2 linked regions of the Lepisosteus oculatus genome follow. The protein of the gene in region 2 interacts with the protein of the main gene of each other region in a pairwise test. Links are inferred from orthologs where the notes say so. Each region holds a gene or a part of one and is shown on either strand. Other genes may lie near its edges.

The links. The genes of interacting proteins can lie anywhere in the genome.
Region 1: the proteins of transmembrane protein 43 (region 2) and gramd2b interact in binary tests that used the Homo sapiens proteins (3 or more experiments, as listed by UniProt). The two-hybrid records come from large-scale screens. The link is inferred for Lepisosteus oculatus from reciprocal best matches to the Homo sapiens genes TMEM43 and GRAMD2B.

The regions. Positions count from the first base shown.
Region 1 is NC_090698.1:51,489,081-51,500,128, reverse strand, and holds the start of gramd2b (GRAM domain-containing protein 2B), read left to right. Parts: upstream 1-6,197; 5' UTR 6,198-6,249; coding exon 6,250-6,368; intron 6,369-11,048.
Region 2 is NC_090699.1:55,801,823-55,812,060, reverse strand, and holds the start of transmembrane protein 43, read right to left. Parts: upstream 4,976-10,238; 5' UTR 4,708-4,975; coding exon 4,693-4,707; intron 3,960-4,692; coding exon 3,807-3,959; intron 3,384-3,806; coding exon 3,249-3,383; intron 2,367-3,248; coding exon 2,272-2,366; intron 1,250-2,271; coding exon 1,200-1,249; intron 175-1,199; coding exon 105-174; intron 1-104. Other genes in the region: mbd4 (methyl-CpG-binding domain protein 4), read right to left, coding at 6,143-6,217, 6,392-6,495, 7,497-7,646, 7,790-7,924, 8,009-8,080, 8,302-9,272, 9,699-9,908. UniProt on the Homo sapiens protein: May have an important role in maintaining nuclear envelope structure by organizing protein complexes at the inner nuclear membrane. Required for retaining emerin at the inner nuclear membrane.

The DNA.
Region 1 (11,048 bases), on a different chromosome or scaffold from region 2:
AGATTTGCTTTCAGAAATGTCTGTCCTGGAAGTGTGTTGTTTCTTGACTGATCATTGCTGGCAAAGTCAGGTGATATGTTGGTAAATTTCAGCTGAAGGTTTGGGTCTAAACTTAGTGTTGACGTTTACCTGTATTTTACCTGTTGACGTTTACTTGTATTTTACAATCAACACAGCAGAAAATCCTATTTCAAATGGATATATTGTGCAGAATGAAATAAAATATTTCAATGCTAGCTCTCAAATCAGTTGTTGGAAACCTAGAAAGACTCCTCTCTTCCCTGGAGCCAAAAATAACTGTGATGTATATTCTTGAATTCCAGCTCACAATGACATAAAAGATTTGTCACGTGGTGTGTTTCCTGATCCAAAGAATGAGATGAAAAAGAAAGCTGGGATTTAGCGGTACTGTCAAATCTGGGACCAGGACTTAATCTATGGATGAGAAATGTCCAGCTCTGCACTTCATCTGATCTGAAAAATGAAAGTAAAAGTTAAAAGTAAAAGGGAGAAAACCCCTTCAAGACCAGGAAAGCAAGCTCTTGTCCCAGTCACTGGCAGACTGGTTATGTGAGTTGTCTCCAGGAAACAGCATCAGCAATGAAACATCTTCCTGATCAAAAGACAAAAGACCTGTAATATCTGTCAATAGGATAAAGGAAACACTCTTTAATTTTTTATTCATGTTTTTTCAACACATCTCTGTTATTCAGTAATACAGAGAAAGTACTTTGGTACAAATAGGACTGTGGGACACCCTATTCTTCAACATAGGAAACCTCAGTTCACACTCACAGGAAGCCTTCCCCAGTTCAATCATCATCTAGGCAGAAAAGATACCTCATTGTGGCCATGTTACTTTGGAGTAAACAGAGTACCTCAGTGCAATGTCCTCTTTGTCACAGAAAACCCTCATTGGAGCCAACAGTACATTTCTGCTCAGAAATCTTTATCTCGGCTTAATCAATGTAGCTCAGTACAAGAACCGAGTACTCAGTACATATTTGTCAGTGCAGTTGGTGTACTGTGTGCCAAGAAAAAAACTCAGTGCTGTTCACCTGCTATAGAATGAGCAAAGCAGCTTGAAGTAGGAAGGGAGGGGAATCTAGATTAACTCTCCAAAAAATAAGAGAGGGTGAGCATAAGACCAACAGAATTCTCTCAGACCTTGTAGGAAGAAAAAGAACCATAAATTAACCATTCCACAGGGTGGAAAGAATAGAACCAGCTGCAGAAGAGCTCATTGAAGCTGAAAGGGTGGCCGGGGCCAGCCACCTGCAGATAAGGCTATGTTGCATACTCCTGCAGGCTCAGAAAACAATTCTATAAAAGGAAGTTAGAGAACACTTCAGAAGAGGAGGAGCTACTATAGCATGTGTTATCTGTTATTTTTCATGAAGGATATACTATTACTTAACAGAAGATGGACAACACACACATACAAATAGTGATAGCTTGGTAATTATATTTAATTATACAAAACCTAGTCTAACACCTACTGTATAGTCTACTTATAGTCCCTTTTGTCAGTAATAAAAACCCTTCATGCATCACTAATAAGGCATGTATTAGACATGAACTAACAATCAACTAGCTGTGTTTCCGTGATGAAGTAGTAATACATGTCTTAGAGGGACATCATATTCTGAAATGTTTTTGCAATTTACTTGGGATGTGTGACAATGTGTGCCTGGTAACCATCTGCTTCTAATAAATCAGGCAAATGAAAGAGTTTTAACAACTCAGGTAACACATATTACACACTTAAACCTCCAAAACTTAAACAAGTTTTTACATGTGTTCCACACCAGACATCAAGATGGTAAGATAATAGAAAACTGTAAAATTCTTCTGCATTATATGCTTCACACATAGAAATCTTAAAATAGGGTACTGAATAATGGATATGCTAAAGTCTTCTTTATTCACAATAAATAATGTATGCCGGATCCCATTACCCTTTATGATACCCAAAGGATTACAGAGCTCTTTGGTTTTATTAGTGTCATCCTATAAAGAATTAAAAGCTGTTTTGTTCTAATTATAGAAGGATTCACTGTATTGCAGAATACTCAGACAAGCATGAGAATGGACAAATTATAAATCTGTCTTTGATAGCTAGTCCACTATTACAGTATATCTGCCAGATTATGATGGAGAAATTAGATCTGAGTTTCATAACTTTAGCATTACATAATTTTATTGTAAGTTCAAATAGTATTTAAACAAATTTCAACTGTATTAATTTTGCCACAAAAAGCTTGTATACACTAAGTAGAAATTGTATTGCATTGCTGTCCATTTTAAAAACATTATCAGATGTCACTGTTAGCTAATAGTTACTGTTAACTAAAAGCTTAACAACTAGTATTAAGTAAATCAAATAATGAAATAATAATACAATTTAATAAATCAATGAAAACGTAAAATAGATTCGTTTAGTTTATGGATGTGTTTGAGCTGGCATAAATATTTCACTACACAGCTCCCATCCCACCAAGACATTAATGACTAAATTCATATTTATCACTTATAATTAGTTGGAGTTTGTTTTAAAAAAATCTGTAACTGAATTAGAAGTGTAATGAAATGAAAGATGAAATGTAATTTGTCCTTGTTTACAGTTATACTGTTACATAAATATGTGAAACTGACCTCCTTCTGGTGACTGTTTAGATTGATGTCAGTGCAATATCAGTTTTAACTACATTGTTTTATGACTGGAAATTAAAAACTGTACAATTTAAAAACTATTGGCAAAACAAAGCTGATCATGACAGAGATGCTGTGGTATCCTGCACATAGTCATTTTCTCGGATCCCATCAGTATAGCTGATGGGTTCTCAGGATCACTATCTCTGCAGTAATCTTTTTTATCCATGTCTGAATGTGTTTCTTCAAAGATAAACAACATACAGTACACACCTGAAGAAGACTCCATGGCCGAAACCTTGTGTTTCCTTTCTTTTCTATTCAGCATGAAATAAACCCGTTACCTGTTCCTTAACATACAGTACAGCTCAATATCATATGAGTGAAACCTGAAAGTATTAACTGGAATAGGATCTCTATCTTATCCCTCTCATCACAGGATTACCCAAATGTCCTTCTCTTTGGTTTTGAAAGTCTTATTTGTGTCTTAAGACAACTAAACACATTATGTCAGTGTAGTTTGTTTTGCTAAATGATACAATACAGCTACGAATTAATATTATATTTATAATTATGTTATAGTAGTGTATCCTTATCTTTTTTCACTAATAAAAAGGAAAAAAATCTACTTTCACATCTGTAACACATACTATAAATGATGTGATACTGTATTAACATAGTAAAGGAAATTTCAAGATCCTGTTGTTCAAAATCCCATTTTTTATATTCAACATAGTAACTTATCATTTGTAAATATAGTAATCCCTCATTATACTAACTTAATTCATTTCTTGAGGTGAAAGTAATTCATTACTCTTAAGGTGAAAACTCAATCATGGAAATTCAATTCTCTTTACTTCCTGTGAACCTCCAGAACTAAAAAAACTTCACCTTAATACAGCACAGAACAGCATCTACTCTAAGTGTAAAACAATAACATCCCTGGTTAATTATTCAAGCAACATGTTTAAAATCATTAGCTGATGCATAAACAACAGAAAACAAAAAAGACTCCTGCTCATTAATAGAAGTTCCATGATGACAGTCCTTAATTCATAAACTAGCCTGTACTATATGTACTTATAGTAGAACAAACAAGCCTTTATTATAAAAAAGGTACCAAAGTATAAAAAATTTAACTCTTCATCTTCAAAAAGATGCCAGAAAAGTAGAATCATACAAGATCTCGGCTCGTAAGAGTGAAAATCTGCTTGTTAAATAAAAATAAATAAAAAAACAGGAATTACTACATTTCATATAACCAAAACTTGTATAGTGGTTGCTCGTACGGTGATATATTACTGTACAAAAAATTCACAAAAAGTTATTATAATGTGGAATATTATAATGCAGCAAAGGGGCCTGGAGTCTACCTATGGGTGGAGAATTTTAGAAGATGGTGTAGGAACACTTAAGAAATCAACAGAGAGGAATAAGTGAGGATTCACATTAATTTTGAGATTATTAGAGAAACTTGGCTTCAGCTGTCAGGAAGCTGATTTCACACTATAAAAGAAAACAGCTCAGGGAGAAGGTGGTCTAATCCAACATTACTGCAGCTAGACTGATTAAGTTGCATGGTGCAACCTCGAGCAGTATATGCTGTACTATATAGGTTCCAAGGAGAAACTCGTAAGTTTTGATGAAAGTTCAATTGATATCTTTCTACACTGATTACCGCTGTTTATGGGGCAAATGTATTACAGGTTTAATACCTACCCATGGATAAAACAGGACCAGCTGGTTCTATTAGGCACATATAATCAGGGAAAGGAGAACAACTATGGTTGAGGACCAAACCACGGAAGGAAGGTGTCTGGTCCACCAGTAGATAGTACAGTATATTGGACCCTGTGTGAGGTTAGAGTATAGGGTTGAAGGAAGGGAAGAAAGGAAAAGAGAGGTCAATAAGCGCTGGAGAGAACAAGCGAAGGGAAGAGTAGGGCTCTGTGTGTATTCCTCAATAGTGAGCAAGGAATAGTACGGTTGAAGGGCTTAAGTAGGGTGGAAAGTGGTTGGATAGTTGCGGTGAACAATGCACGTTGGAATGTGGCAAGTGCGTGGTTGCGTGGTGACTCTGACAGAAGACTAGAAACATCCAGTTCTATCTGACCTCAGCTGGTTAACAACTTTCCCAATTTATGGAAAAATATGATTGATGTATTTTGAACCTCTAAATTCCATTGCCTAGGTAGGAGGATCTATTTCAATGTCCACTCTGGGGAGAAAAAGAAGGAAAACATAGAAATGAACCCACAATCCCCATTTATCAAGAGAACTATGCCTTCAAGCCAGCAATGTTTTTGCTGTTGTTCATTGTCTGAATTATTCAAAGTCAGTCAGTTCTAATTTGACAAGACATTACAGCCAAGCATAGTCCATCATTAACATACCATAAAGTGTGAAAACATGAGTCACAGCACCTCACATAGATTAGACCATCATAATGCTCCATGTTCGTAATTGCTTTCACAGTGCAAGGTACAAAGCATCAGAAACTCCATGTCTCAACAAGTGATTGACACGTGCTGGTGACACATTGATCAAATCCTAGGACCTTAGATCCTGCATTCCCTGCAGGCTCATTCACATGAGAATAGTTCAGCAGGACAACACACGTCTTCATGCTGTTCCTGTTACAAGGCTGACTAGGGCACACTTTTTTGGGGGGGTTTGTCTCAAAAGACCAGGCCAGCATGCGCTATCAGGTCTGACTGGGGAGATGCACCACAGAGTGGGCCAAGGGAGTCATCTGCTGAGGTCTGGTCTGAAGCAGAATCCCAACCTCTCTTCCTCATTCAGCAGCCTGGAGAAGCCCTGCTCCTAGGCTGATTCCAAGAGAAAGAACTGGAAAGGAGGAACGAGAAGGGCTCTGCTGGGAAGCTGGAAAGTGGCTTGGGAGGTGAAAGGGAGTAAACGTCTGATCAGGATTTAAATACCCCAGAGAACCTGCTGCCTTGAGACTTCTTGCTACAACCAGGTGCTCTGCTTTTTGCTGTAGTATAATTCTTTTTTGTAGGAGGTTGCGTCAAACAATGTATAGTATTATATGTGCCCTAGAGATGTGCCCTAGAGATGTGATTTACAGATTACATAGTTTACAGCAATACACCTTTGTTTTTTTAATGTACAAAATAGTTGAAAAAATATGTCTATATTATGGCCTTTTTTGTGAACTGGATTTAAATTTACATTTGTTATACTGTATGTAATATATGAGATATGTAATATACAATCATTTAGAATTCAATTACATTAAATATATGTTTGCATGTTTGTAAAATAAAAGGTTCAACACAAACTTTCAAATAATACACAAATTTAAAAAATATTTGTGTCCGCTGCCTGTGAATAATAACCAAGCAAATCAATGAATAAATAGTGCAGGGCTACTTAAAAGCATCAGCTGACTTAGCATTGTCCCCTTAGTAACAACATGTCCTTCCCACAGGTGAATTACTTATTAACTTTAAAAATCAAGACAATACAGAACTCAAAGTACAGAGTTTTATTGACCTGGGGGAAAGCTAAAACTGAGAGGCATACACTTTACTTCAATCACTTTCATCCTGTTCTCACCTACTGTAGGCTTTCCTAATGGTAAAAAGGTTTGCTTATGATGACTCTATTCTGCCTTATTATAAAAGACAGAACGGTCTACTTAATCCAATGCATTCCATTCCTGGTCCTACAGAAAACATTGATTCTACACTGGGGTAAGTGTGATTCCATATTATGTATGTATTTGTACGTATTTTGCAGAACATAGATATCTGTGCTGAGATGTCTTTTTTTCTTAAGAATGTATTTTTGGAAACATTTTAATATGATATTAACCCCCATTCACATTCAATGAAAAATGTGACCATTTCTGTGTTTTTATAATTCAATGAAGGCCTCTGTTTCTGATTTACAGAAATATGTATGTTAATGAAATAGACTTTAGTCTTGCTGTGGTCAGATCAAGTTAGCAAACAGTGTGGAAGTGTGCATGACGTCTACATGTACAAGTACATGTGGAAGTCTACATGAAGTGTAAATTGATACCTTTAGCAACTATTTAATTGTATATGTAAATTTAAATGCTTATTATGCATTTAGCTTCACTTCAGGTTATTTTATTTAAAAAGCAATGCTTATTATATAAAGAAAATATTTTAAAACTTTTAACTGTTCAACAATTTAATTCCCGAACACTTAACATTCACGTTATTATTTTTTATTTTAATCATTATCTTCATAACATCTACTATACATAAGCTGTATCAAACTGTTGACTTTTTCAAGCAAGTTTGAAAGGTAGTGCTTGCAATAAAACAATTTCACATGGTTGTAAATTTATTTTGTAACAGATATCATGTGCCAGCTTAACAACTGCTACACTGGAAAAGAAACATATACCCTATTTACTTCTAAAGAAGTTTATAAGCACCACCAATTAAAAAAATGTTGAGATGATGCAAATATAATTGACATAAAATTTGTGACACACGTTATTCTCAAAAACGTTCATTTTCTCTAAAATAGTACAAGCATATTACATATAACAGAAGTAAAAGGCACTCAATGACCAAATAAAACCAAAAATAAAACAAAATTAGCAATTTTGTTTTCACCACTTTTCCAAAAGCTGTAAATCTGTTTTCCTTACATTCTTCTTTAATATAATTATAATGTGGCAAAGCAACTGTGGTCGATTACTTCCTACTTATTGTTTATTGCTGCATCTTTTTCTTAACATTGTCTTCACCATTTAGCCATGGATGTCTAGATCCATAACTCGAATGAAGACCTTTTCAGATCCAGGCTAGCTTCTTCGTTGTCTGATGACCAGTCTTAGTATCATATTCATATTCGACTCAGTCGTCTCTTATCAGTCTTGCTTTCAAACCTCTATAAACAGACCCTGTATCACTTCCTTTGATTACAGTTTTTCCTTCTGTTAACAACTGAGCTGTTGCCGTGCTCTAACACACCCTCCATAAATGCTGCATTTCTTTTATGAAATACGCTGAAAGAAAGAATTCTTTTCATTCTTTAATGGTTCTAATCTTTCAGCTCCAGTTTCCACTTTCAGTCCCTGCAGCTGATGACACCACCTCTTTGGTCATTGGTCTAGTCTGGCATCCCACCTTAAGCTGTGTTAGTAGGTGTCCTACAATCTGTACTACTGTCTCCTGGTGTCCAACATAGCTAAATAGATTTCCCCTAACTCCCCAATGTAATGTAATATTGGTGTCCCAATATGCTCTAATTTCTTTGAATACCACAACCTTCTGCTAAAACGGCTCTATTACTCCATAGGCACTTATACGCCCACTGGGAAGCCAACTGTATTATGCTGTGTCCATGATTGGCTCTTCTCCTTTCACATCCCTCCCTACCTTTCTATCCTATCCTATTCAGATTTCAATCTCACAAGAGATAGAACTTACTGTACAAGTCTCAACGGATCCCCTCTCCTTTCACATGTCGAATGAAACCAAACCTTATTGTTCCCTCTGACTGAGCAGATAATTGATCTCTAACCCAATTTGGAAGACATATTTTTGTTATAGTTCAAGTGACACGCGAAAATTGTCACACTGCCAAAATGTTGTGTGAATAAACCTTTACTTGTTCCTATATTTTTGTTATCTGCAACATCCTGTGTCTAGCACACCATGCCTTCGGCCCTTAGCAATATTTTACTTTTCCAAGTAATTTTTCTTTCCCTTCAGGTGCCTGGCTCACTCCAGTATTAACCCCTGACATCCTCTTTATCTGTCCAATGCTCTCTTTCCATCCTTTCCTGAACATCAAGCATTCTAAAAACCCTACTTTTCCTGTCTTCTAATTTCTTCACCTCTTCTTCTTCTCTCTAGAATCCCACCTTGTGCGGTGACAGCTCCCAGCTTCCTTCCGCCATCTTTTTCCATCTACACTCTCCCACAACTTCACCTTCATCTGTCAACTCAACAAATAATCCAGTTTCCCAACAATGCAGTTCTCTCTCTCTCTCTCTGTCACTCTGAATTCTGAAGGCCACCTTCCCAGTGTATCTCTGTAAACCAGAAAACATTATCTGTGATATTGCCCTCCACTTCAGTGACTAAAGGTACAAATACTCCAGTTGTTGTTTGTGACTTCTATTCTCACACCTCCCTGCAATGTAGCCTCTCTTATTTTTATGCCTCAATACCTTCAGTCTTTTCTCATTCATTGCCCCCCATTCCTACTCCCTTCCAAATTGTTACTCCCTCTTTGAGCCTCAGGTTCCTCCATCATCTTTGCAGTGGGCTCCAAATCCAAACAAATTTAACTCCTTCAGTTGCAGAAACTCCTCATCATTTCCTCAGCATCAGCATAGTCTCCATTCCAGAGACACATACTCTTTCCATGTTCTATCAGCACCCAGTGTCTTCCTCAGATCAGTTACCTCTCCCTAAATGACTCTTCTCTCAGTGGTCACACCATATATCTGAACAAAGCTGGTCCAAATGCCTAACCAAAATGTTAAAATTACAAGTGTGTTATATTATTTTAACATGACATCCATTCATATACTGTAACTTTTGCCTTTGTTAACTTTTTGCTTCCCCACATTGTCTAGAATATGTAAATTATGTGTCAACATAAACACCTATGTCTTTTTCTTAAGTAGCCTATTCTAACTCTATGTTTCCCATTTTGTAGTTATAGTTTATGTTTTTGATATATGTATGCAAAACAATGCACTTGTTTTAAAATCTGCCAGGTGTTTGCCCAGTCTTAAATTTAATCTTTGGTGTGTTCTGCAAACATGACTAGTTTACTCACTATAAGATATTCTAAATCATTGAAAAAAATAGAAACAGCACTAGTTCCAGCACAGATCACTGCTTCACTCACTGCAGTTTGAGCATTCACCCCTTATGTGTACTCTCTGTTTTCTATTAAACAATTCTCATTTCAAACACATGCATTTGCCTGAATGCCTACTGCCTGTATTTTAGAACTTAATCCAAAATGAAAATACATTGTTCACATCACCTTTCTTTGTGAGTCTGGTTTTCCAGCATTAACTTACATGAAGAACAAATACAGAGTTCATCTCAGGGTCGAAGATGATATGCACCTTTACCTCAGCCCAACAAATCCCCACCTATCCATTCTCTCTGCCTCTATGCAGGCATAACCATTTCATTGAATGAGTGTTTTTTTTTTCAGCTATTGTTTAATTTTTCATTTGATGTAGCAATATGATTTTTGTGCTGGTGTTTTTTTGCTAGAAATATTGTTAGAATTCTAATTAAGCTTATAAGCACTAAAAGCAACATTTTTTGCAGTATGATAACATTACACAGCACAATTACACAATTTTCCACAATTACCATACTGAACTCCAGTACAAAATTAATGATGTTAATGGCACAAATAATCTTCATAAATCCAAACACTATACTAAATTATAAGAAAATGTAATGAGTTTAAGAAAACAATATCAAAAGCAATCTACTGTAAATTGTGGGTACATCTTAGATGCACGTTAATTACAAGTTTGAGTGGGTAGCTTTATCAGTGTGTCAGTTGCAAATTAACAAGTTAATTCTACACTAAAAAGTAGAAAGAATGAAGAAAAAAGTTTTTTTTCTAAATTATTTTGAATTTCCTTCATCTTAACTGCGACAAGACGGAAGTCATGCTTATTGGCACCCCCATTAACTTCGTAAAGCCAATCCTGTAACCCTATCTGTAGATGGTTCTGTACTTGAGTGTCAATCTAAATTGAAAAACCTTGGGGTTATATTCTATTCTGGCTAAACATTAGACCCACATGTGCAGCATATTGTCAAAACATCTTTTTTTGTATGGGTGACAGGGTCTTCTCCTGTTATGCCCCCAAGCTCTGGAACTCTCTCCCCAAGGATATCAGAGAGCCACCTTCTCTAAACTCCTTCAAATCAAGACTCAAAACCCTCTTCTTCAGAAAAGCCTTTACTTAACTGGTTCCATTCTTCACCCCTCTGCTTTTCTTAGTACCACCATCCACGGTCTCCTCAGTATATCGTAATTGTGTTTTATCTCGTGTATTCTTTTTATTTATTGTTTTTGTCATTCTATAAGGCGCTTTGAGAAGCCACCTTTAAAGGCACTATATAAAATAAAGTTATTATTATTATTATTATTATTATTATTATTATTATTATTATTATTATTATTATTATTGTTATTATTGTTATTATTATTATTTTGCCCAAGGAGCCTCTTCAGGAATGTCAAAAACTTGTATTTTTTCTTCTTTCAACCTTTTTTCAGGTTCAAATTAGCTTTTCTTTGTTCTCTTCTGCAGTAGATCACAATTCTTTGGACTAAAAGCATCATTTGTCTTCAATAATCATAAAGATTTTACAGATTTTGAGATCTGCTGACACTAG
Region 2 (10,238 bases):
AGAAATGTGGCTCATGTATTAAGAGGGGGGAGATCAGAAGAAACTGCAAGATACCATTCTGGCAAACACACCAACATAAGTTGAGCATAATCTTCATGTGTTACCTGGGGTTGATATGACCTATCTCTTTATCAAAATTCCTGCTGTTGATCACCTCAGACTTCCACTCCGTATCTACAAAGTGAAAGAGAAACCAGTCAAACACAGTGAAGCAAACACTCGAAGTAAGCACTTCAAGGATTGAAACATTGCCAATACATTTTTCATGGAAAATGTCACAGCAGCTTAACATTCTGTAGCAGTGCTCCAATCCAGTCAGGTTGACCAAGTAAAGTACAGTATTTGTACATGCACGTAGATAACAAACAATTGAGTTTTTGCTTTGATGACAACATGCTTAGACATACTAACCTTTGAAATGGTGAAACAGTCAACTTTTAAAGTGCTTTTACAAGCTTTTAATTGCTTTCTTCATCTGACCAGAGGGCAGCGATGGGGCAGCCAAGGAACTCTCAGAAGAAAGACTGAGCCCTAGTGCCCAGACTAGCTAGTTAAGCCTGGGTCTAGTTACTAGCTGACTGTGACTGAGACATCCCAAGTGGAGGTGGCACACAGTCGGCAGATTCCCGTAGTGGGGCAGAAGTGAAGTTAGTCAGCCAGGGTCTTTCTGGCTAGCGGTGATGTCAATATGGGACATGCTACACCTCCAGGCAGCACTATGTCAAACACTTCAGCATGTCAAAGTGACTCTACATTTGGGCAGGTCTATGCGCGTAGGGAATTTCTCAGAAGTCACGCTATTATGATTGCAGCTAGAAAAACTTTCAGTCTCCAGCCTGAAATGATAGAGGAGCAAATATGGCCAAATAACATTTAAATCTTATTATGTGATTTAGTGTGATGATTTGTGACAAAAAAAATGATGTATTAAGGCAGCTATGGAATAGATTGGTAACCAGTATGTTGCTCTACCATTAATCCTTTTTTAAAAATCAGCATGTCATTACAGTTCAGTCTCTGCCAGGCGACAGTGAAAAGGAGTGTTTTAATTGTGCCTACTTGAATTCACTTTACTTGTAAAGTTGTGGAAAGCTTACAAACCTAACTGCAGTGTGTAAAGATCTAAAGCTTTATTGTGCAGTCTGAACACTGAAGCCCCATCTAACTGAAAAACAGTGGTTCACACTGACAGTACTCACTGTACGTATATGTTGTTTCAGTCTTCCGTTCGCCATTTTCTTCATAGTCCCTTGGGGGAAAAGGATGAAACAGATTACCAGCTAATGCAGCATTTGTGAAGTGTAATTATTCTGCTTTCTTTAAATAGTACTACTAATCAACTATACTATATATGATTGTTTTAAACTGTTACAGGCTTGACTTGTTAAAGATGCTTGTTTAAAAGAAGAAACTGATCAATAATAAAAAAGAAAATGCCCGTTCAAACTTCAGTTAGAACTCGGCATGTGAATAACTAAGCAAACAACTTCTGCAAGACAGTGAGAAACACTATTTTCAGTTTCACATACAGTATCCATACCTCTATCAGACACTGAAATACAGCATGTGGTACATTGAGCCGTGGTATTCGGAGACTATGAAATTTGTTTTGCAGAACATTATTAAAAATGGGTCACTTACTTGAGAACATTTTTTAATTTGATCATGTATTTGTGAATGTACAGAAAATTCTGATTTCATGTGCATTTTTAAGGTTTGCTAAGGTATATCCCCGAAACTTTGGAGGTTAGCCTTGAATGGACAGGGTTGTGGAGGGGAAAATCCCTTTACAGAAGGTTGATTATTCCAGGTAGGAGTCACAATGACGAGACACCAATCCCAGAAGCCCAGGGTGCAAACTGGGACTACACCCTGGACAGCACGCCAGCTCACTGTAGGACACATCCACCCAAAGATGTGCAACAAAGATAGAGAGATCTGTTAACCTAGCTTGTTATTTCTTTATGAGCAGGAAGAAAAATGAAGCACCTGGAGGCACCACACAGACACAGGGAGTGAAGGAAAAATATTCTGATGAAACTGGCCAAATTATACTCAGATCTTTTACAAACATTTAATTCATAAAAAGAAAGCACTGATATTCGCACTGTATAATGACGTTAAGCTGTGGGTGGGTGTATTATGATACGTTGGCAAAGTGATCATGGGGTACTCTCCACTGTTCTCCCGTGTTGCACTATGACAGGCTGTGCTGTTGACACAGCGTCCTGACAACAGTGTGGTGCTAGAGTTGTGCCTTCAGCCTCTCACCGGCTCTCTTGGTACTCCACCCACTGGTACATTTCAACCTCCCGCTTCAGCTTGGCTGCATGGACGCTGATTCTGTAGTTAGGGTCGTTCAAAGGCTGCAACAAGTCACACGTTTCATTCTCAGGACTTAACAGCACTTAGACAGGCAACATACAGGTACAGTACATGAATGTGGGTCCTAGGTGGAGTTTGAGTCCAGTACTCACAATGGTACAATGTGCAATAGTCTCAGTCGGTGCTTATTTTGGTCAAAAGGCTACCTTTGTGCCACACTTACCTGGATACACTGTATTTTTAAATCTTACCACTCTTTCTCTTACATGTAGTCCAATAAAACTTGACATTCTTGCTGCCATATCACCCTGCAACTCAAAACTGGCAGCCCACTGAAGCTAAGTAGGTGTGAGCCTGGTCAGTACCTGTATGGGAGACCTCCCAGGGAAAACTAAAGTTGCTGCTGGTAGAGGTGTTAATGGGTCCACCTGCAGTCTGTGTGGGTCCTAATGCCCCAGTATAGTGACGGGGACATTATACTGTAAAAAGACACTGTCCTTCGGATGAGATGTAAAACCAAGGTCTTGACTTTCTCTTGTCATTAAAAATCCCAGGGCATTTCTCAAACAAAGTAGGGGTGTAACCCCAGTATTCAGGCCAAATTCCCTCCTGGACCAATTATGTCCTCCTAATAATCCCCATCTATGAATTGGCTCTGTTCTCTTCCCCACTGATAGCTGATGTGTGGTAAGCGTTCTGGTGCACTATGGCTGCCGTCGCTTCATCCAGGTGGATGCTGCACATTAGTGGTAGTGGAGGAGAGTCCCCATTACATGTAAAGCGCTTTGAGTGGAGTGTCCTGAAAAGCGCTATATAAGTGCAAGCAATTATTATAATTATCATTAATGATTAAACAGTGTTTCTTTTAATTCAAAGTTTTCCTCCTAGCAGGAGGGGCCTGACAGCTATGCTGCCTACAGTACCTGAGGTGTCCGCAGGGGCCCAGACAGGTGCACCAGCTTTCCATTGTTCTGAGGGTCAACACTATGAATATTGTCCAGAGGCACCACCAGAGACAGGCCCTCATCTAGGGAAGCTGCCGTCTTCAGAGCCCTTCCCTGAGCAGAGAGACAATATACTCTTACTGGGCACCTTCAATGTACAGTTAGCTGCACTTTTTATTTTTCGCAAAGCAGTTAAAACCAGTTAAATTACTGTAAGTTAGAATGCAGGGAGAATCCCAGCTGACAGACTCAAAAGGCTTTTGTTATTTCAAATATATTAGACTGTGCCTGAAATACAGCAAGGAATTAATCTTCTCAGTCATCACCAATGAAAACCTTTAGAGCCGTGTTAGCTAGGGCAGGGTGTACAAGAATGGACTAGATCTTGCACATTATAAATGTGTATGTTAAGCCATCTTAAAATGAAAAGACAATAGCATTTCTACTACATGAAACGCAAGTGTCAAAGGGTCTGTTCCTTTAAATGTGGTTGCCCCAGCAGCTCATGCTGCTGACGATTAGCTTGATTTCTGGTACCTCGTTAGTGAAGAGTACATAAAAAGACAGGGCAAACAGCCCGATGCCAATCAGCATTCCTCCGCTTGTCTGGCTCAAGCGCTCGAGGAATCCAGCGTTTCTATGGCTTGTCACTTTCACATGCTGGTCCTTCCTCTGTCCTTGGGAAGGCTGCTGAAATAAATCATAAAAATAAAACATTTAAGCCCACATTCACCTTCGCTAACAAGAGGCAGCATGCTTATTAGGTCATTTCTATAGCACGGAATTTGTAAGTGTAATGTGTGTCCGTAATACAGTATGTTAAGAGCATGTGAAGTGGGCTATTTAAGTGCACAACCATTAAAAAAACATTTTTTAGCCAATCTACTCTAAGATTGAACCTCACACTTTGATAGACTTACTGGATACCTTTTAAAACATGTATGAAAAAAAGTCTCTAACCCCATCCCTATATACCTCCTTCATTCTCCAAAGACCATACCTCACTATTTAAGTGTAATTATTATTAAAAGTGTACCTTGTGGTTTTAAGATGTGCTTTATAGTTTGTTTAGTGAATTCCACAACTCTCTCCCATTACTGCCTGGTACAGCTCTGATAGCTAAATGGGAAAGTTTACAAACAGCGCATTTTGCAGAAGAAAATTAAATAAGTGCCATACATGTAACCGTGTTACTTGTAAACGATGAAAAACATTTTCATCGGTTTTTTTTCAAGGGTTAAAATTATGGTTTAAAGGTAACAGCACCTTCAAAAAAGATCAAAATGTTTTCGACGCAAGGAAATATGAGCATCAGTATCATAACTTAATCCAATCATTATTCGATTTTCAGTTTCTATTCACCGTGTCTTACATTTTCGTGCCTTAAACGCACAAGTCTAGGTAAATTAAATACTTCACTTACATTAGCGGCCGACATTGTGTTGATCTCCGCCCTGAGTTATTCAATTTCTAAAATAAAACAGTAAAACGTCCGTATATACGATGGATGTGAGAATAGCACAAAAACTAAATAATTTCGGAGTTTTGTGAATGATCTGTTGGGATTTGCATTCGCTCAAAACAAACTGCTTCCAATTAAACCACCTATTCAAACAAACCCGAAGTTCAAAACCGGAAAAATTTGGACGTTCAGGGTTTAAAATAATTACGTTCCTTCGGCGTCTGCGCGATTGCAAGACCGTCGCCGTTCGCTTTTCCAATTTGTCAACTGTTGTGTGCGTTGGCGCAGCGAGGTTTTCTGGGAACTGTAGGCTGTACATGTAACGTATGACCATCCGTTATACTAGTATATCTGTTTTTACTTGTTATGTGAAAATTCAAACATTAATCCAGTGAGTTTTAGCTTTTTCTAAAACTATGCAACCAGATAACGATTAGCCGTGGGTGTTTCGGAACGTGCAAGCAGTGCAGAAATAATAGCGTCCCTTTTCAAGTAAATGACTATAATATTATGTTGAAAACATTTTCATATACACCAGCTTTACTAAAGTCAACAGTTAATCTCTGTTACAAACTTCCCAAATATGTCTTTGGTTAGGTGAGCAGGTAATTAATTCAGCACTAAATCATGACCCGATAGTACGTGACAACTACTCTTGCATTTATTAAATTAGAATATGTGTGCTGACCTTTTTTCAAATGCAGCTATGTAGCTTACATGTGTTAAAATATAACTGAAAATGTTATTATTTATCATTAAATATCCTATGTTGCCACAATGAAATCAATTACAAATCAGTCCAAGACTGAATTTATTAATAGATTAATGGGTACAATAATTTAGTACAAATAAATTAGTATAAAAGGTGATACATTGGAGATGTGAATTAAGGAAACTTAGAATACTATTCTAAGTAGATAATACTATTATCTTTTTTTCTAGTGTACAACTACAGGACATTTGAAGAACCGACTTCATTTAAATAATCAAGTGGGAGAATACAGAGCTGCTACTTCAGAGAGAGATTAAGACGTTTTAGAAAAAACAACACCAAAAAAAACAGAAAAGTACAAAACACAAGCTTTTTTATTATTATCTCTAAAAATATGTTTTGCGTTAAAGAATATTTTAATTACAGATTATATGTAAGCAGATACAAACTTCAATTTTTAAGCAATGATATGTATCTTAATAGTTTCTAGCATAAACACACAAAAAAGCACACGCATACAACCTGACAATATAAAACCAGTCAAAAGCTGACATAACTAAAAACGTGAAGACCTGTGTTTTATCACATGGTTGCAGTCCAGTACATTTTTTGAATGACAGAGTGGTAAAATGCAACAGCAATAATTCAACATTATTCTCCCTGAACCACTTTTCCGAGATTCCAAGCTTCGTCTCGGAATCAGATACCCAGGTGCTCGTGGTTTTCCCGGAGCCATGCATGATACAAGTTCAGCTTGTGATCTTGGGGATCAACCTAAGAAGATAAACATGGATAAAAAATCGACAGTTACCGTCACATTTTTCCAATCCTGCTTATGTGTCCATAAAAAAACAGGGCCCGTATCATGTCTGGATAACTCTGTCATCCATTTTTGTGATTACACTGGATAGAGTTCTTAATCAATGAGTCCAGCTGCCCCCAACTCACCTGTTTCCATTCATTGACACAGAATATCCTGTAGGAGTCGTTGCCATACTTTCCTATACCATGGAGCTCGATGGGGTACTTCCAGTGTTTTGTTAAGTATTCATCTGCAATGGCAAGAATCTGAAATGTAAGCCTTTCGCACCTGTACAGAGTTCAAAGGCTTTACGAGAGCAAAGGTTTGTTCTCCTACAAGAGTCTGCTATCTAAGCAGGTGCAAAACCCCAGTCGGTCACATTGGTGCCAGTAGAGAACAGGATCAAAATGAGGTCACACACAAAACTGGAGAGAACTCTTTCAAGTATCATCAGAGACTTATACTGTGCTCTTTTTACCTTGTGTGTCTGCTGAAAAGTGAAAATTTCACATTGGTTTTCTAATACACAATGTACAGTAGATGGAGGGCTGATTATAAAATCATTTTGACTATGACTGATTGTGATGGGCAGGGTGAAATTAGATAAGCGTCATTATTACATCCTTTGTTAACCACAACATACAGTGGTTGTTATCCATAGTCTGTGGATAATAAGCAGAAACTCCCTATCACCCAATTATGACAGGGGTGGTGTGGTGTGTCTGTGGCTAAGGAAGTTGGGGTATGCGAAAATACAAATTCCTAATACAAGAAATTGCATATGGCCAATAAAGTGTTTTATCTTATCACAAAGTGAGCTTAGTGCACTACACTCCAAATACAACATACTTACTTCTGCAAATCGTATGATTACACTGATGAAAAGAAAAACATGGAAAAATAATCCTCAACATAATCAGAATATTATGAACATTCAGTTTTATGTAGTTCAGGACTATGGTGAAGAAATCCATCCTTACATCTGTTTTCTAACCGGTTCTTCTAGTTCAAAGTACCAGCACAGAAAGAGCTTACCCTGGCAAGCAACAGGCACAAGGCAGGGTACACCCTGGATGGGATGCCACCCCACCACAGGGCAGATAGGCACCAACACACACACGCATACAACTCACACCTAGGACTTGTTGAAGAAATCACTGTGACACACAAATTGCTTAACATACTGTAGCTACAGTATAGTGAGAAATACATAATTGCTTCTTTTTTGGTTTAAAACATTGTATCACTCACCTGAAAACCTCACAATTGTTTTGGCTCTGAGTTCATTGAGGCCCAGAGGTTTCAGCAGTTCAGCCATTTCTTTCCAGTCGCTGACACGGGCCACCTCAGGAGACGGGTAACGCCCAAAGAACTCCCACAGCACAGGGATTGCCATCTTACCTAAAAGAAAGAGTCTCTTTACTTTCAACTGACAGAAAGACAGAACTGAACCGCGCCCCACATCCGAACCTAGTATTTTAGGTTAGCTCTCTGTGAAGGGAATTGTCTCATTGTCCTGTTCTGTTTGAAGCCACAACTCTTACCGCTGGTTCTATTGAGGAAAATGGTGGCTATCAGAAGCTTCCAGGGATCATGGAAAAGAGTCTCCTGTACCAAGGCAAAAGGAGAGCGAGGCGGAGTCCATTTCTTAAAGGCCTTGCGTCTGGGTGGACTTGGAGCTAAGAAAAATAAAGTGAACATGTTTCATTTGGGAGAGTTGTCCTTTTTGTTCCTGGTAAAAGTTGAAAATGATGTTTCCTTACCTTCTCTGGCTAATTTTCCAGTGAAGTACTGGCTTGTTTTTCTTTTCTCTGACAGCATTTTTATGCCACAACCTGAAGGTAAACAAAACAGTACCAGATTCATTGATGGACTTGGACAATATTTCAATGTTTCTATCTAAGGTTTTCTTAAGCCTTCTCCTTTTGTAACTGAATATACTGTCTATTTTCATTGCAAAACATATCAGGCCACGATTCCTATTCGGTTTGGAGAAACCCCTCAATGTTCCCCAGAACGTTAAGAGCTATACTCAAAGATTTAACTTTATGCTTACTGCTTTGCTGCTGTTTCACTGATGTAAATGTCCCCGAGTCCCCCGGAGGAAGTGAATCACCATCTTCTAGCGCAGACTCAGTTTCAGGTCCGACAACAGCTTGCTGTGTCTCTGCAGCGTTCTTAGACACAGGCTGTAAGGCACTTTTCCCTGGGGCAGAGGCCTCAGGCTGGTCACACACCACTTCTCCCGACTCATTTTCACCTTCTGGGGAAAGTGCGAGCTCTGCTCCTTTATCCGCTTCACTTATCTGGGTCAGTCTGAGAAGCTTATCCTTTAAAAGTCCCTTTTCAGTCTCTTTTTGATCTCCAGTGTGGTTTGCAATTTGATTTTCTCCTCTTTCACCGCTCACAGTCAGTGCGTTTACGTCATTTACCTCACATTCCTGTGCCAGTCTGAGAAGCTTGTCTTTTAAAAGCCCCCCTTGAGTCTCTTTTTGGTCTCCAGTGTGGCGTTGACTTTGCCCTTCTTCCATTTCACTGCCCGGAGTCAGTTTATTTCCCCGTTTGCCCACTGCTCTTTCAGCACCGGCTTTTCTAACCCTACTGCTGGGATCCTTCCTCTGTTTCTGTCCTCTCTGTGGTCCTGCGGGAGTGAGCTTTGTCAGTGAGTGCCGACGTTTAGCCCTGGCTCTGCAACTTGTGCTTTCAGATTCTGAAGACTTGGATTTCTCAGCACAAGGCGCAGAAAAGACCCCGTCAGTGGCAGCATCATGTCCAGACAGCTCTTCTGACACACTGCTGGGTGACAAGTGTTCCTCTTCGGCTGTAATCTTAATGTCAGTTGTGCTGTCCAAGACGGTTTCTGAAAGTTGGAGAGCTTTCTTCTTTTTTGTCCTCTGAGGTTTTGTTAACTGTTTGTCCTTCCCAGGTACAGAGAAATCAAAATCTGCACCCTTGAGACAGAGTTCTTTGTTATTCTGAAGGTAGACATGGAGTGAAGCTCTTGATCTGAATTTCCCTCCCTGTGGACTGAGTACACCAAGTGTTAATTCCTTTGGTTCAAAACAAAATACGTCTCATATATATATATATTGTTCTCAGATCTGACTAACAGTTACAAAAACAACTGTACAAATGTATTTTTAAAAGCTTGTTTTTCTATATGGTAATGCATAGGGACCATTCTCTCAGACATGCAGACTGCAATAAACATGAGTAACAACATCTATGTACAGCAACAAGAAAATAGAACCTGAAGTGTTGTGCCTCTTTTTAACACAGGTTTGAGCATTGATGTAGATATAATTACTTTATAAACATTTGTAAAAACATTTTTTAGAGGATGTTATTGACCAATCATAATTGTTCATTTTCAAATGCCCTTGTGCTTATCTAAAATGGGGAAGATGTATTTGGGATCATATAGACACTTGTACTATATTTATAACCCAGTACCTGATGATATATACGTCTACTTTCCCTGCCGTTTTTCCAGATCGCCTCTGTTTCACCATTTTAACCCAGCCTGGCGGGACTCCGAGACAGCAGCAGGTCTCCATACACGAGTCGGGGCTGGGACTCTGCTTTGGTGCAGCTTTCTCTTGCTGGTCCTCATCTGACAAAGAGGGCTCTTCACACGCTATTGCTTCTGTGGTAGCAGTTTCACTAGGTTTGGAAACAAAACACACAAGTTTCCAAAATGTCTAGTTACAAAAATGTTGTCTATGAGACTAGGATAACCCCGTGCAATACTATAAATCCCTGTAACATACGGTATATAGTACCACAATTAGCTATTTAGTCACGAAACCTGCCTTTAAAATTAATACACATGCATTTCATAGCATGTCAACCAAAAATAAAATATATACAAAACGTTTTTACGAATATAGAAAATGTACTGAAAATGTGTTCTGCTTATGTTAAATTATAATGGCCATAGATAAGAAAAGCATAGGTACAATATAAGCAAACAATTAAACTCTGACTAACAGT